Cricetulus griseus: one gene and its partners. The protein of the gene in region 2 purifies or fractionates together with the protein of the main gene of each other region. This does not show direct contact. Links are inferred from orthologs where the notes say so. Each region holds a gene or a part of one and is shown on either strand. Other genes may lie near its edges.

Evidence for each region.
Region 1: the proteins of Mad2l1 (region 2) and Anapc7 purify together in Homo sapiens (affinity purification with mass spectrometry; 3 studies listed by BioGRID and IntAct, with this or other methods). This does not show direct contact. The link is inferred for Cricetulus griseus from reciprocal best matches to the Homo sapiens genes MAD2L1 and ANAPC7.
Region 3: the proteins of Mad2l1 (region 2) and Anapc1 purify together in Homo sapiens (affinity purification with mass spectrometry; 3 studies listed by BioGRID and IntAct, with this or other methods). This does not show direct contact. The link is inferred for Cricetulus griseus from reciprocal best matches to the Homo sapiens genes MAD2L1 and ANAPC1.

The regions. Positions count from the first base shown.
Region 1 is NC_048597.1:102,260,575-102,264,223, forward strand, and holds part of Anapc7 (anaphase-promoting complex subunit 7), read left to right. Parts: intron 1-1,065; coding exon 1,066-1,208; intron 1,209-3,649. UniProt on the Homo sapiens protein: Component of the anaphase promoting complex/cyclosome (APC/C), a cell cycle-regulated E3 ubiquitin ligase that controls progression through mitosis and the G1 phase of the cell cycle.
Region 2 is NC_048601.1:76,486,581-76,490,815, forward strand, and holds the start of Mad2l1 (mitotic spindle assembly checkpoint protein MAD2A), read right to left. Parts: upstream 2,879-4,235; 5' UTR 2,750-2,878; coding exon 2,677-2,749; intron 2,354-2,676; coding exon 2,207-2,353; intron 1-2,206. UniProt on the Homo sapiens protein: Component of the spindle-assembly checkpoint that prevents the onset of anaphase until all chromosomes are properly aligned at the metaphase plate.
Region 3 is NC_048599.1:49,881,559-49,885,207, reverse strand, and holds part of Anapc1 (anaphase-promoting complex subunit 1), read right to left. Parts: coding exon 3,566-3,649; intron 2,726-3,565; coding exon 2,643-2,725; intron 1,431-2,642; coding exon 1,357-1,430; intron 1-1,356. UniProt on the Homo sapiens protein: Component of the anaphase promoting complex/cyclosome (APC/C), a cell cycle-regulated E3 ubiquitin ligase that controls progression through mitosis and the G1 phase of the cell cycle.

The DNA of each region.
Region 1 (3,649 bases), on a different chromosome or scaffold from region 2:
TGTTCATGCCTTTTTGTTTGGAAGATAGATGTGTTTATTGTAACACCTGACAGCAACTGGGGTTTCTTTTTGTTCCAAGTCCTAGCACAAAAAGCTGTGTTTTTTTTTTTCCAGTCATTAGTAGCTGTCACTTGTGAATGGCATATAAAATCATGTATTCTATGTTGTCCTCTTAAAAACTATAACCTTGCTGGGCATGGTGGTACACACCTTTAATCTCAACACTCAGGAGGCAGAAACAGGCTTGTCAGGTCTACATAGTGAAACCCTGTCTAAAAACCAAGGAAAGGAAAAACATAACCAGAAAGTTCTTTGTAGATGTGTTATATTTGAGACAGACATACAGACACACACACCATTTCATTGTATAACTTTATACCATTTTATTTATTTAATTTTATGTGTATGGTTGTTCTGTCTGCATGTATGTTTGTATCCCATGTGTGTGCCTAGTGCACAAAGGCCAGAAGAGGGCATTGGATTCCCTGGGGCTGAAGTTATGGAAGCTGCTGTGCTAGTACTGAGAATTGAACATGGGTCCTCTGCAGGGGCATCTGATGTTCTTAACCACTGAGCTTTGCTTCAGCTCCCTATGTAAAAAATGACCATTGCACCTAGGTCATTTTTAAAGTTTTTAAAATTACATTTGTATTTATTTATTGCTCATGGGCACATGTGCTTGTGCAGAAGTCAAAGGATAACTTGAAAGAGTCAGTTCTCTTCCTTCTACCATGTAGGGCCCAGGGATCAAACCCAGATCATCAGGCTTAGTGACAGGTGCCACCCTTACCTGTTGAGCCATCTTGCTGGCTCACCAAAGTTTGTTTTAATTATTATTATAGCTAGGAGTTGTACTGCCTGAGTATACATATCAGGACTTGGGAGGTAGAGGTAGGAGGATCATGAGTTCAAGGCCAACCTGGATAATATAGTAACCCTACCTCAAAAAACAAAACCAAAAATCCAAAAACCCGAAAAGTATGTCATCTATATGCCCACCCCCCAAATGCAATGATTAAAGCTTTGTAACAAATTCTAAGGGTTTAGTATTTAATATCTTTTAAGTTCACTAGAGAAAAAATCCTTACTGCGAGACAACGTGGACCTGCTGGGGAGCTTGGCAGACCTGTACTTCAGAGCAGGAGACAGTAAGAACTCCGTCCTCAAGTTTGAGCAGGCGCAGATGTTGGATCCTTATCTGATAAAAGGTGAATCCTGGGGCCCTAGAGTGTCTGTAAAGGGCAGCTAAGAGGAAAGGCAGAGTGTGGCGTTGGCACCTGGCGTTTCTTGTTTTTTGTTATTATTGTTGCTTCTAGGCTTATTTTTATTTATGTGTAAATGTCTCTCTGTATGGTGGGCATGTACATATGAGTGCAGTGGCCTTAGAGGCCAGAGGTATCAGATTCCCCAGGAGTTGGAGTTATGACCCATGTGACATGGGTGTGGGAATCCACTCAGAGCATATGAAGAGCAGTACATGCTCTTGACTGCTGAGCCATCTCTTCAGCCCCTTATTTTTTATTGTTTGAATAAAGGGTCTCATGTAGCCTTGAACCTGGCTTTGAGTTCTTGATTCTTTTGCTTCCACCTCTCGAATGTTGGCTCACAGGCATGCACTGTTTTTCAGGACAGCCTCTGTGAGGCTCACTTACTGTAGCAGTCCTCTCCCTGACCTGGCGTATGTCTCTAACACTTAGCTAATACTATTCTGAGTGGTTGTTTGACTTGAATTCAAGTGTTTTCTCCTCATAGACCATTGCCAAGCTTTTTTCTTTTAAGGGGTATCGTGCCCCATTCCCCCATGAATTAAAATTGATGACGTGGCTGACTGGTGGCATCAGCAGAATCCTAATGTCCTTTTAGGGACTTTGGTTTTACTCTGTCCTTAGTATAATTGCAAAGAAGTGGGGGACAGATATTAAGAACAGGATAGAGTGGTTAAAGTGTCATCATCAGAGACAGCCACTGATCTGGAAGCAGTTGCAGGTGAAGGAACAAGGCACAGTGGTTTGAGGGGTGGGGGAGGCCGGCAGTTTGAAGAATGGAATGCTCAGGGATACAGGGGAGTGAGACGTAAAGACCCAGCAGAGGCCAACGGGAGAATACACCTTGGGGTAATAAACAGGCTTTTAGATTCATAAAGAATGACGGAATGATAATTCTAACACTCTGAACACTAAGGTAGGATTATGAGGTCAAGGCTAGCTACACAGTGAGACCCTGACTCTACCAAACAAAGGATGACTGAGTGTGAAGGGACCTTCCCAAGTATTCAGATGAGGGAACAGTCTAGAAAGTGTGTTTGTGCAAGGTCTTCCCCTGTCTGGTGTTTATTTCTCTTCTCTACACCGCACTAGTAATCTCAGCACTTGGGAGGTAGAAAAAGAAAGGTCAGTGGTTCAAGTTCATCTGGCCATTGTGGGCTGCTGGAAACTCTGCCTTAGACCTACCTACCACCAAAGAAATACAGAGAGAGAGAAGTCAACAGTGGTGGCGCACACCTTTAATCCCAGCACTCAGGAGGCAGAGGCAGGCGGATCACTGAATTTGAGATCAGCCTGGTCTGCACAGTGAGTTCCAGGACAGCCAAGGATACACAGAGATATTTCCTGTCTGGAAAAATCAAAAATCAACAACAACATAAACAAAAAAGTAAAAAGAGAGAGAGAGAGAATAATTCAGAGTTTTAGAAATAATAGCCCGGTGGCACTGGTAGCTTGGACTTCGATACTTACATCCAAAACCCAGGCTAGCAGGAGTGTGACTGGGAGAGGACTGGGGATTTGAAGGAATGGCAAGGAAGAACAGTAGGTAGAGAGAGGTGCATGAGAGTCAGCATGGGCCTTTATAAACCATGAGGAAGGGAGGGTTTAAGTGGAAGACAGGTGGCATTCCCTGATGAACTACATTCTAGAATAAAACAGCTTTTTGGGGCATAGGCCAGGCCATTTTATTTATTCATTTGTCTGTTTATTTGAGACTGGGTGTTTTCAACATAGTAAACATGAGATGGGTGAGAGCAGTTAGGTAACAGCGTTATGTGATGCCTTCTGGGGACATTTTCTGGGATGTTGTTCACCACACTACAGATTTAGGGACAGACAGTTCTTGAAGTGACAGAGATTCAAGTTGTGATGTAGGACCTGCTGCTCCTGTGCCTACCTGTCTCTCCATCTTTCGTTCTTTCATGTGTGTGGTTTCTGCCTACAAGTTTACGTTCAGCATGTGTGTGCAGGAGCCCCCAGAGGCCAGAAGAGGACCTTTCTTGTTTTCAATGGTTTACTGTTTATTGATGCAGTCATTTGGAGAGGGGGGTCTCTTGTAGATGAGGTTGACCTTGAACTTCTGCTTTTCCTGCTTCCAGCTCCCAAATGCTGGGATTATTGGCCTGTGCCACCATCCCAGTTTATGTGGTGCTAGAAACTGACCCTGAGCTCCGAGCATGCTGGGCAGGCACTCTCCCAACTGAGCTGCATCTTAAGCCCTGGCTGTTCTGGAACTTAACTCTGTAGACCAGGCTGGCCTCTAGCTCACAGAAATCCTCCTGCTTCTGTCTCCTGAGTGCTGGGATTAAAGGCATGTGTCACCCACACCCGGTTTATTTAATTTCTAAAATTAAATTATATGTGTGTATGAGCGGGCACACGCA
Region 2 (4,235 bases):
TCCTGTAAAATCTTATCTGTGGAATTAATGAAACTATGCTTTTAAGAATCAGGAAAACCACAACTGTGTTTTAAGCAGAGTGAACAATTAAACTTGTGTTTCCAAACTATCATACTTGGTAGTAAGTTAGCTGGAGGGGGTAAAAAGAGGGTCTACAGACACTAGGATTCAAAGTTCATAGCATAAACCGGTAGAGAGGGAACAAAGCAATTTCATGCTTAAAACTGTTAAGATTATCTGATTAGCTTTCAATAAGAATCATTTTGATTCGAGGCCAGCCTGGTCTCCAGAACGAGTGCCAGGATAGGCTCCAAAGCTACACAGAGAAACCCTGTCTAGAAAAACCAAAAAGAATCATTTTGAGGTAGCTTTCAGGTTTCAGACTTCATTTCTCGTTGGACTGTTAACCTAGTAACTAATGAACAATTCTCGAGATCATCCTACATTTAGTTTTTATTCTGCAGAGTATAAAGCATACAGAGATGTCACGTTGTTTATGAGTCTGGAGTAGAGGGTTAGCTTAATCACATAAAAGTTGGTAGTGAAGTTGTGAATGGCACAGATAATCTAGCAATTATAAAGAGGATCTCAGATGGAACCCTGAGTTAATACTGAAATTGGGATAGCAACTCAGTATACATCATTTTTCTTTTGTAAGATTAAAGTTGGAGGGAGATGAAACCAACAGGAAGAATGGAAATCATAACAGAGAAACAGAAAATACAAGAAAGAAAAGAAAGAAAGAAAGAAAGAAGTAAAATGCTTCTAAAAAGGCTAGAGGAAATGGGACTGAAAAGAAAGAGAACAATTTGCCTATTCATAAAGAGCAATTCCTGTGTTTTAACTAGGACAGGAGAAGTGAGTGACAACAAAAATGTAGATGAGGTACAATGTCACCAGTGACAACCTGTAACCCCAGTATCAGTTAAGGCTGGATTCTCTATTGAACCAGGATGATGATGATGGTGATGACACCTAGCAATAGCTATCTAGCAGTTCCAGGTCAAGTATGAGTGACATCCAATGACCATACATGATTCCACCCTGACCCACAATCTGGGAAAATAATGAGAGATGGGCTGCTCCTCTCAGCGTATACGTATCTTGCTTGCACTTGAGAATAGAAATCTATCTCCACATATTTATCAAGTACTTCACCTTTCCTATTCTAGCTGTCTAATCTATCAAAGAAGTTCTCAACCAAGAGCAACTTTATCTACAGGGCTTCAAGGTTATCGAATTTCAGGATAGTCAAGAGCTTTTGAGAGACCCTGCCTCAAAAGTAAAACAAAACAAAAAAAATATGGCCTTAAAGAGATGTCTATGTTCAGCTGGTCACCAAAAGAAGGTCATTTTAATGCTAAAGTTAACAACAACAAAAAAAAAATGCAATGAACACTGTAATGAAACTACAATAGAAACAAACTAAAACATCTTTGCAAAAAAAAATTTCTTAGGAGCAGTGGTGCTCTTCCTAAGAATTGACACCTTCTTCGGGTCTTTTAAGGAACCAGGCATGCACCTGGTACATACAGACATAACCCAGGAAAAACACCCAAACACATGAAAAACTAGAGAGAAAAAAGACAGCTGTAATGCTTTTGGAATTGGTTTTTATAAGACTTTGTTGGGAGATACAAGGCTAAACACAGAAAAGATTATTATAATTAGAATGGCAATCCTAAGTGGTGTGCAACACGAGGAACAAGGATTCCAGAAGGAATAGAAATAGGTGGGAATAAGTATTGGCCAAACAGGCAGCACAACACTGAGCTACGAATGAATAAATAAACTGTCCAGATACTGAATTACAGCCACCGCTTTTAAGGAAGATAAAGAGAATAGTTGAAAAGTAAAACCGGAACTTTCCTGTATATTGTTATTTAGTAATACCCTGGTTACAACAACTGCAGCATATCAATGGGTGTCTAAGAAGAGCAAAATCATCTCGTGTAAAACCATCAACTCGTTGTACCTGTTTAAACCGCAAAATGCATTCCTAAAGCAGCTGATAAGACACTTCCGACTCCGAGACGCCTAACATCAATACACTCAGGCTACTTAAAAGCAGTGGGAGAAAGGATGGGATTTCCCTCCATTACTTCCTCCCTCCCAGTCCAGAAGCGCTGTATTTGAGAAGGCATATTGCTTTAAGCCACCCTCGTAAACGTAACCCTGTCAGAGGTAAAACTCAAAACGTGATTACCTTTCAGCTGTTCGACCACATTATTGAGATACTTTATGAGCTCGGGGTCAGTAGTTACAAGCAAGGTGAGTCCGTATTTCTGCACTCGAGTAAAGGTTTCCGACGGGTATATGCCACGCTGATACAAAATGCTGTTGACGCCAAACGCTGAAAACGAAAGGAATCGAGCAGTGAACACCTACTCACGTTTCCAAGTCTTCCAGAAAGCAGAGCTGACACAAAACGACACCGGAAAACCTTCAACCCAGCAATGCCAACTCTCACGACACCGCAGTCTAAGTGCAAATACACATGTGCTGAGCGGATGTCAACACAGACCCCGGCTTTCAAAGCGCGAATGGCACGATGCCCCAGGGAAGGCCCCTCCGTTCTCCGCCACGGCACGAACGAGCAGGAGACCGGGCGGTGGTTCCGCCCTAGCGCGTCCTAGGTCCCGGCCAGGCCGCTCTCCGGCCGCATTCAAAACTCACAAAAAAACTCGGCCACGATCTCCGCGCTCCCGCGCAGGGTGATGCCTTGCTCTCGGGCGAGCTGCTGCGCCATCACTCGATCTAACGGAGACCGCTGTCAGCCTCACCGCACACCGCGCCCTCCCGGCTCAGCTCCTTCAGCTATTCCCCGCCACCCGGTTCAAAAATAACTACGCAGCCCGCGGGGCGCTCCGTGCGCAAGCGCAATGTCCCGCAAGCCCCACCTACACCGCCGGTTTCCGGCCCCGGCCCCGTCCTATAAACGCCTCATTTCTCCCTAAGCCCGCCCCATACTTCCGGTTTCCGCCCTAAGTCCCTCCCCCATAACTGAACCCTCTAAGGACGGTCTGCTCTCAAGATTCCGTCCAGAAGCGCCGCTTCCGCTGTGAACGCAGTCCCTCGAGGACCAGAGAGCGGCCCCTAAGTTCCGCCCAGAGCCACTTGTATCCGGCCCTGGCTCCGCCCTCGCTGCTTGCGCAGGCGCAGAGTGGGCCTGGCTCCGCGCTCTCCGGCTTCCCGCCCGGGAGGGTCGCTGTGGGTGGGGCCTCTGGTCGGGTGTCCAGGAAGAGCCCCAGGGTGACGGGGTGTCCAGGAAGAGCCCCAGGGTGACGGAGGGAAGGCTCGCCGGCTAAGTCCAGGTCCGAATATCCCCGAAGTAGTCTCAGCTTCGTGGATAGTTTGCAGTTTGGGAGAGCCTGTGTTTTGTGTGGGAACGCGAATTTTCTGGAGAAATATCAGAATAGGGACTGGGTACAAGAGAAGGCTCAGCCAGTAAAGCCAGTAAGGTGTGTGCCTTCAACACACACACACACACACACACGAGAATCACACACACACACGAGAATCACACACACACACACACACACACACACACACACGAGAATCACACACACACACGAGAATCACACACGAGAATCACACACACACACACAGTAAACACACACACACGAGAAACACACACACACACACATACACACACGAGAATCACACACACACAGTAAACACACACTCACACACACAGTAAACACACACACACGAGAATCACACACACACACACACACGAGAATCACACACACACACACAGTAAACACACACACACGAGAATCCCTTCAACACACACACATGAGAATCCCGCACACACACACACACACACACACACACACACACACACACGAGAATCCCTTCAAAACACACACACACACACACACACACACACACACACGAGAATCCCTTCAAAACACACACACACAGTAAACACACACACACACGCACGAGAATCCCTTCAACACACACACACACACACACACACACACACACACACACACACACACACACACACACGCATACAAGAATCCCTTTCTTTGTAATTAAAATAGCTTGCTTTCAAGTTCTTTGGTCAAACGCTCTTCCTTTTTGAGTATTTAAAGCCTGTACCAGAGCATGTAAAGTTACACATGGGCTTCATGTTACTGTTTTTTTTTTTTTTTTTTTTAAACTTTTTTTTAAAGATTTTATTTATTATGTATACAGTCTTGTGCCTGCGGGCCAGCAGAGGGCAC
Region 3 (3,649 bases), on a different chromosome or scaffold from region 2:
GCATGGTGACATACACCTTTAATCCCAGCACTTAGGAGACAGTGGCAGGCAGCTCTCAGTGAATCTGAGGCCAGCTTGATCTACATAGAAAGTTCCAGCCCAGCCAGGCCTACACAGTGGGATGCAGTTTCCAAGAAGTAAAAAATAAGCAAACGGCCAGGTGTTGGTGGGGCACACCTTTAACCCCAGCACTTGGGAGGCAGAGGCAGGCAAATCTCTGTGTGTTTGAGACCAGCCTGGTCTACAGAGCTAGTTCCAGGACAGGCTCCAAAGCTACACAGGGAGACCCTGTCTTAAAAAAAAAAAAAAAACAAAAACAAAAAAAGAGATCAAGAGAGACAGAAGCTTCACTATGTTGCCCAGCCTGCCCATAAAATGCTAGTCTCAAGCAATCTTCCTCCCTCAGCCTCAGAAATAGCTGGGGCTATAGGTACTTGCCTCCACACTCCATTTTTACCAAATCAGAATCTTAGGTATTTATAGTTTTATATAGTACATGATCAACAATCTTTATTGCCATTTGCTACAACCTTTAAAAAGACAGCTGGTATGTTTTACAGAAACAGGACAGAGGTTTGATTAGCAATGGCTATCCCACTTATGCTGCAGGAGATGAAACTTCAGTGGCATTTGGAATGCACCAGTAAAATGACCAAACACTATAAATATAAATGTCCTTCCAGTCTTCAGTCTTTATTATTTGTAGGTATCGATTCATGTTTGGTAAAGCCTAAATTTAAAGCCAAACATACAGGAAGACTTTAGATATACTCAAGGTGTGGATTATCAGTAAACTTGAACAAAAAAAGTGAAATACTAAAATGTGCTCAGTAATCAGGACTCTGTTATTTTTACTCAAAACAACAACAACAACAAAACCCTTTCGTTCATCCAAGTATCATTCATTTTCTTATTTTCAAAGGACAGTCACCTATAGGCAAGTTAACAAACATGAGTGTCCCTCACTGATTTATATGTCTTAGTTTTGCTGAGATAACTAATGTCCTTGCTTTCAATGAATTACTTTCAGGATAAAAGTGACTTTTTTTTTTTTTTTTAATATCTATTTATTATGTATACAGTATTTTGTCTGCATGTATCCTGCAAGCCAGAAGAGGGCATCAGATCTCATTACGGATGGTTGTGAGCCACCATGTGGTTGCTGGGAATTGAACTTAAGACCTCTGGAAAAGCAGCTCAACCTCTGAGCCATCTCTCCAGTCCAAAAGTCACTTTTATAACACGCTTAAATTTTCTTCTGATAAAACAAGCCACTTTGTAAACAAACTTCATTTGTATTTTCCTCCCTCAATATTAAAACAGAGTTTATGCAAAAGAGTATAAAAGTACACTTACTTCCAGATTTACAAACTAGCGGAGTTATTTCATCTAGTGGGTGTAGCATGCTGAACATAGTGGGCAAAGGTTCTCTAGTAATAAACAAACACACAAACAATTACCAACAAGATAACCCTGGTGCTAAACAAGCAGCTAGAAATCTACTGTTACCACTTGAATATGAGATACCTCATAGGCTCATGTTTGAACACTTGGTCCCCAACTTGTAGCATTGCTTCATGAGGCTGTGGAGCCTTGGGGAAAACAGGGTCTGAGAGTTTCTGCCCAGTCCTGTTCCCAACCCCTCAATTCACTTCCTGATCTGCCAAGATGCACAGTCCTCCTAACATGAACTCTGCCCCGCCTTCCCTAAATGAAGGGCTGAACTGTGAGCAAAGTAAATCCTTCCTCCCTCAAGGGCTTGTCAAGCATCTTGTCACAGCTACTGTCTCCAAAAGGAACCTTCTAAATTCTTCAAATACTGTCTTTCACATCATCCTGTTTTAGTTCTAAAAATAAATAATTCTATACATTTACACACAGAAAGAAAATGACTGTCCAAGGGAAAATCTGCAAATAGCAGCCATCACATGACAGAACCCAGAAAATAACAACCGGCCTAAGACAGTCATTCACTTATCTCTCTTAGTGGCAGTGTGACTATGGTAGAAATTTAATCTCCTATACTTGTTAATAAGGGGCACATTTTTAAAAAGAAGAGAAAAATACTAAGTAGTTAAGCCTACAATTTTCAGGAATTTTGAGGAGGAAAAGTGCTGGTTTTCTAGCAAAGCAGAGATTAAAATCTACAAACAGCTATGATGCTTCGAGCATCTGCTTTTGCAATGTGCCTGCTGTATATGCTCCTCTCAATAAGCACACAGTTTCCAGGGAGGCAAGGGAAGTGCAGCATCAACAAGTCTCCACCATGACTGAACACCTGTAGACAATGGGCCCCTGTGAGAGTCTGCATAGATCCCAAGAGTAACTACTAACATTCCTGTAACAAATAAGGAAATGGAAACTAAGACAGCAATAATGATATGTCCAAAGTAGTACATGGCAGAGCTAGTAACAGAATCTTGTCATTAAGCTGCTATTTAATGCTCTGAAGGAGAGCACAGGGCAATGGAGTGCTGACTCAGCATCACAGCAGGGCTCTAACTGGCATGAAAATGCTTGCACACTCATGCTGTGAACAAGGACGTCATCACCACCCCAAACATTTAGGTTAACAAGTTTACTTCAGAATCAACATGAAAAAAGCCCAAGAAATAATATTCTCAACAGAATAAATGGAATACCTAGGTAGACTTGGAGGCACCTCATGTGAAGAACTGCTCCGTTCGAACAGCAAACCATATTTAGTGGCCCAAACATTTGCCACCTATCAATAAGGGGGGGGGGGGGATAAGAGAAGTTTAAGAAAAGGTTTCAGGAAAAAAGACAGAACATTCAATTTTCTTTGAATTTATTGAGAGCTTTCAAAGCAACATGATAATAAACTCACAAGCTACAGTACTTCAAAACCTATGATTTTTTACAAGCAACTCTAAGAAAAACAAATCAAACCCACAGAAGAGGTGCTCAGTGTGAAACTATGGCCAGTGTGGGTACCAACACAAGAGTGAATAAAACTTTAATAGCATTGAGCATTAAGAGATGATGTGCTGCAAGGAAAAAGGCCAATATTATTCACAGACGTACTATAATAAAGCCAAAATGATTTCTCAAATATCTTTAAACTGACAAACATCTCATATTATAATTTACTTTATTAAAAAACTGTTTTTGTGGAAAGGACAGGCACGTGTTAAACTAAAACTAAGTACAAACTAATACCCTTGATACATAGAGATCTATATAAAAATCTGATATACATGATCTCCAAGAAAACACACAAAAAAGTTGTGGGGATTTTGTTTGTTTGTTTTTTCAGACAAGGTTTCTCTGTGTAGCCCTGGCTGTCCTGGAATCCACCCAGTAGAGACCAGGCTGCTCTCAAACTCACAGAGATCCGCCTGCCTCTGCCTCCTGAGTGCTGGGATTAAAGGTATGCACCACCACTGCCCAGGGGTGGGGTGGGTGGGTGGGTGGGTGGGTGTGTGTGTGTGTGTGTGTGTGTGTGTGTGTGTGTGTGTGTGTGTGTATGTATGTATATGGGGGGGTTGTTTTTTGTTTTTTGTTTGTTTTTACACACTGAAAAACTTAAAACACTCAAGTTTACCTGAAATGGTAAGGAAGCTATATAATCCTTCCCATCTACGCTGTGCATGTTCATACATGAGCTCTGTAATATACATATGCATTT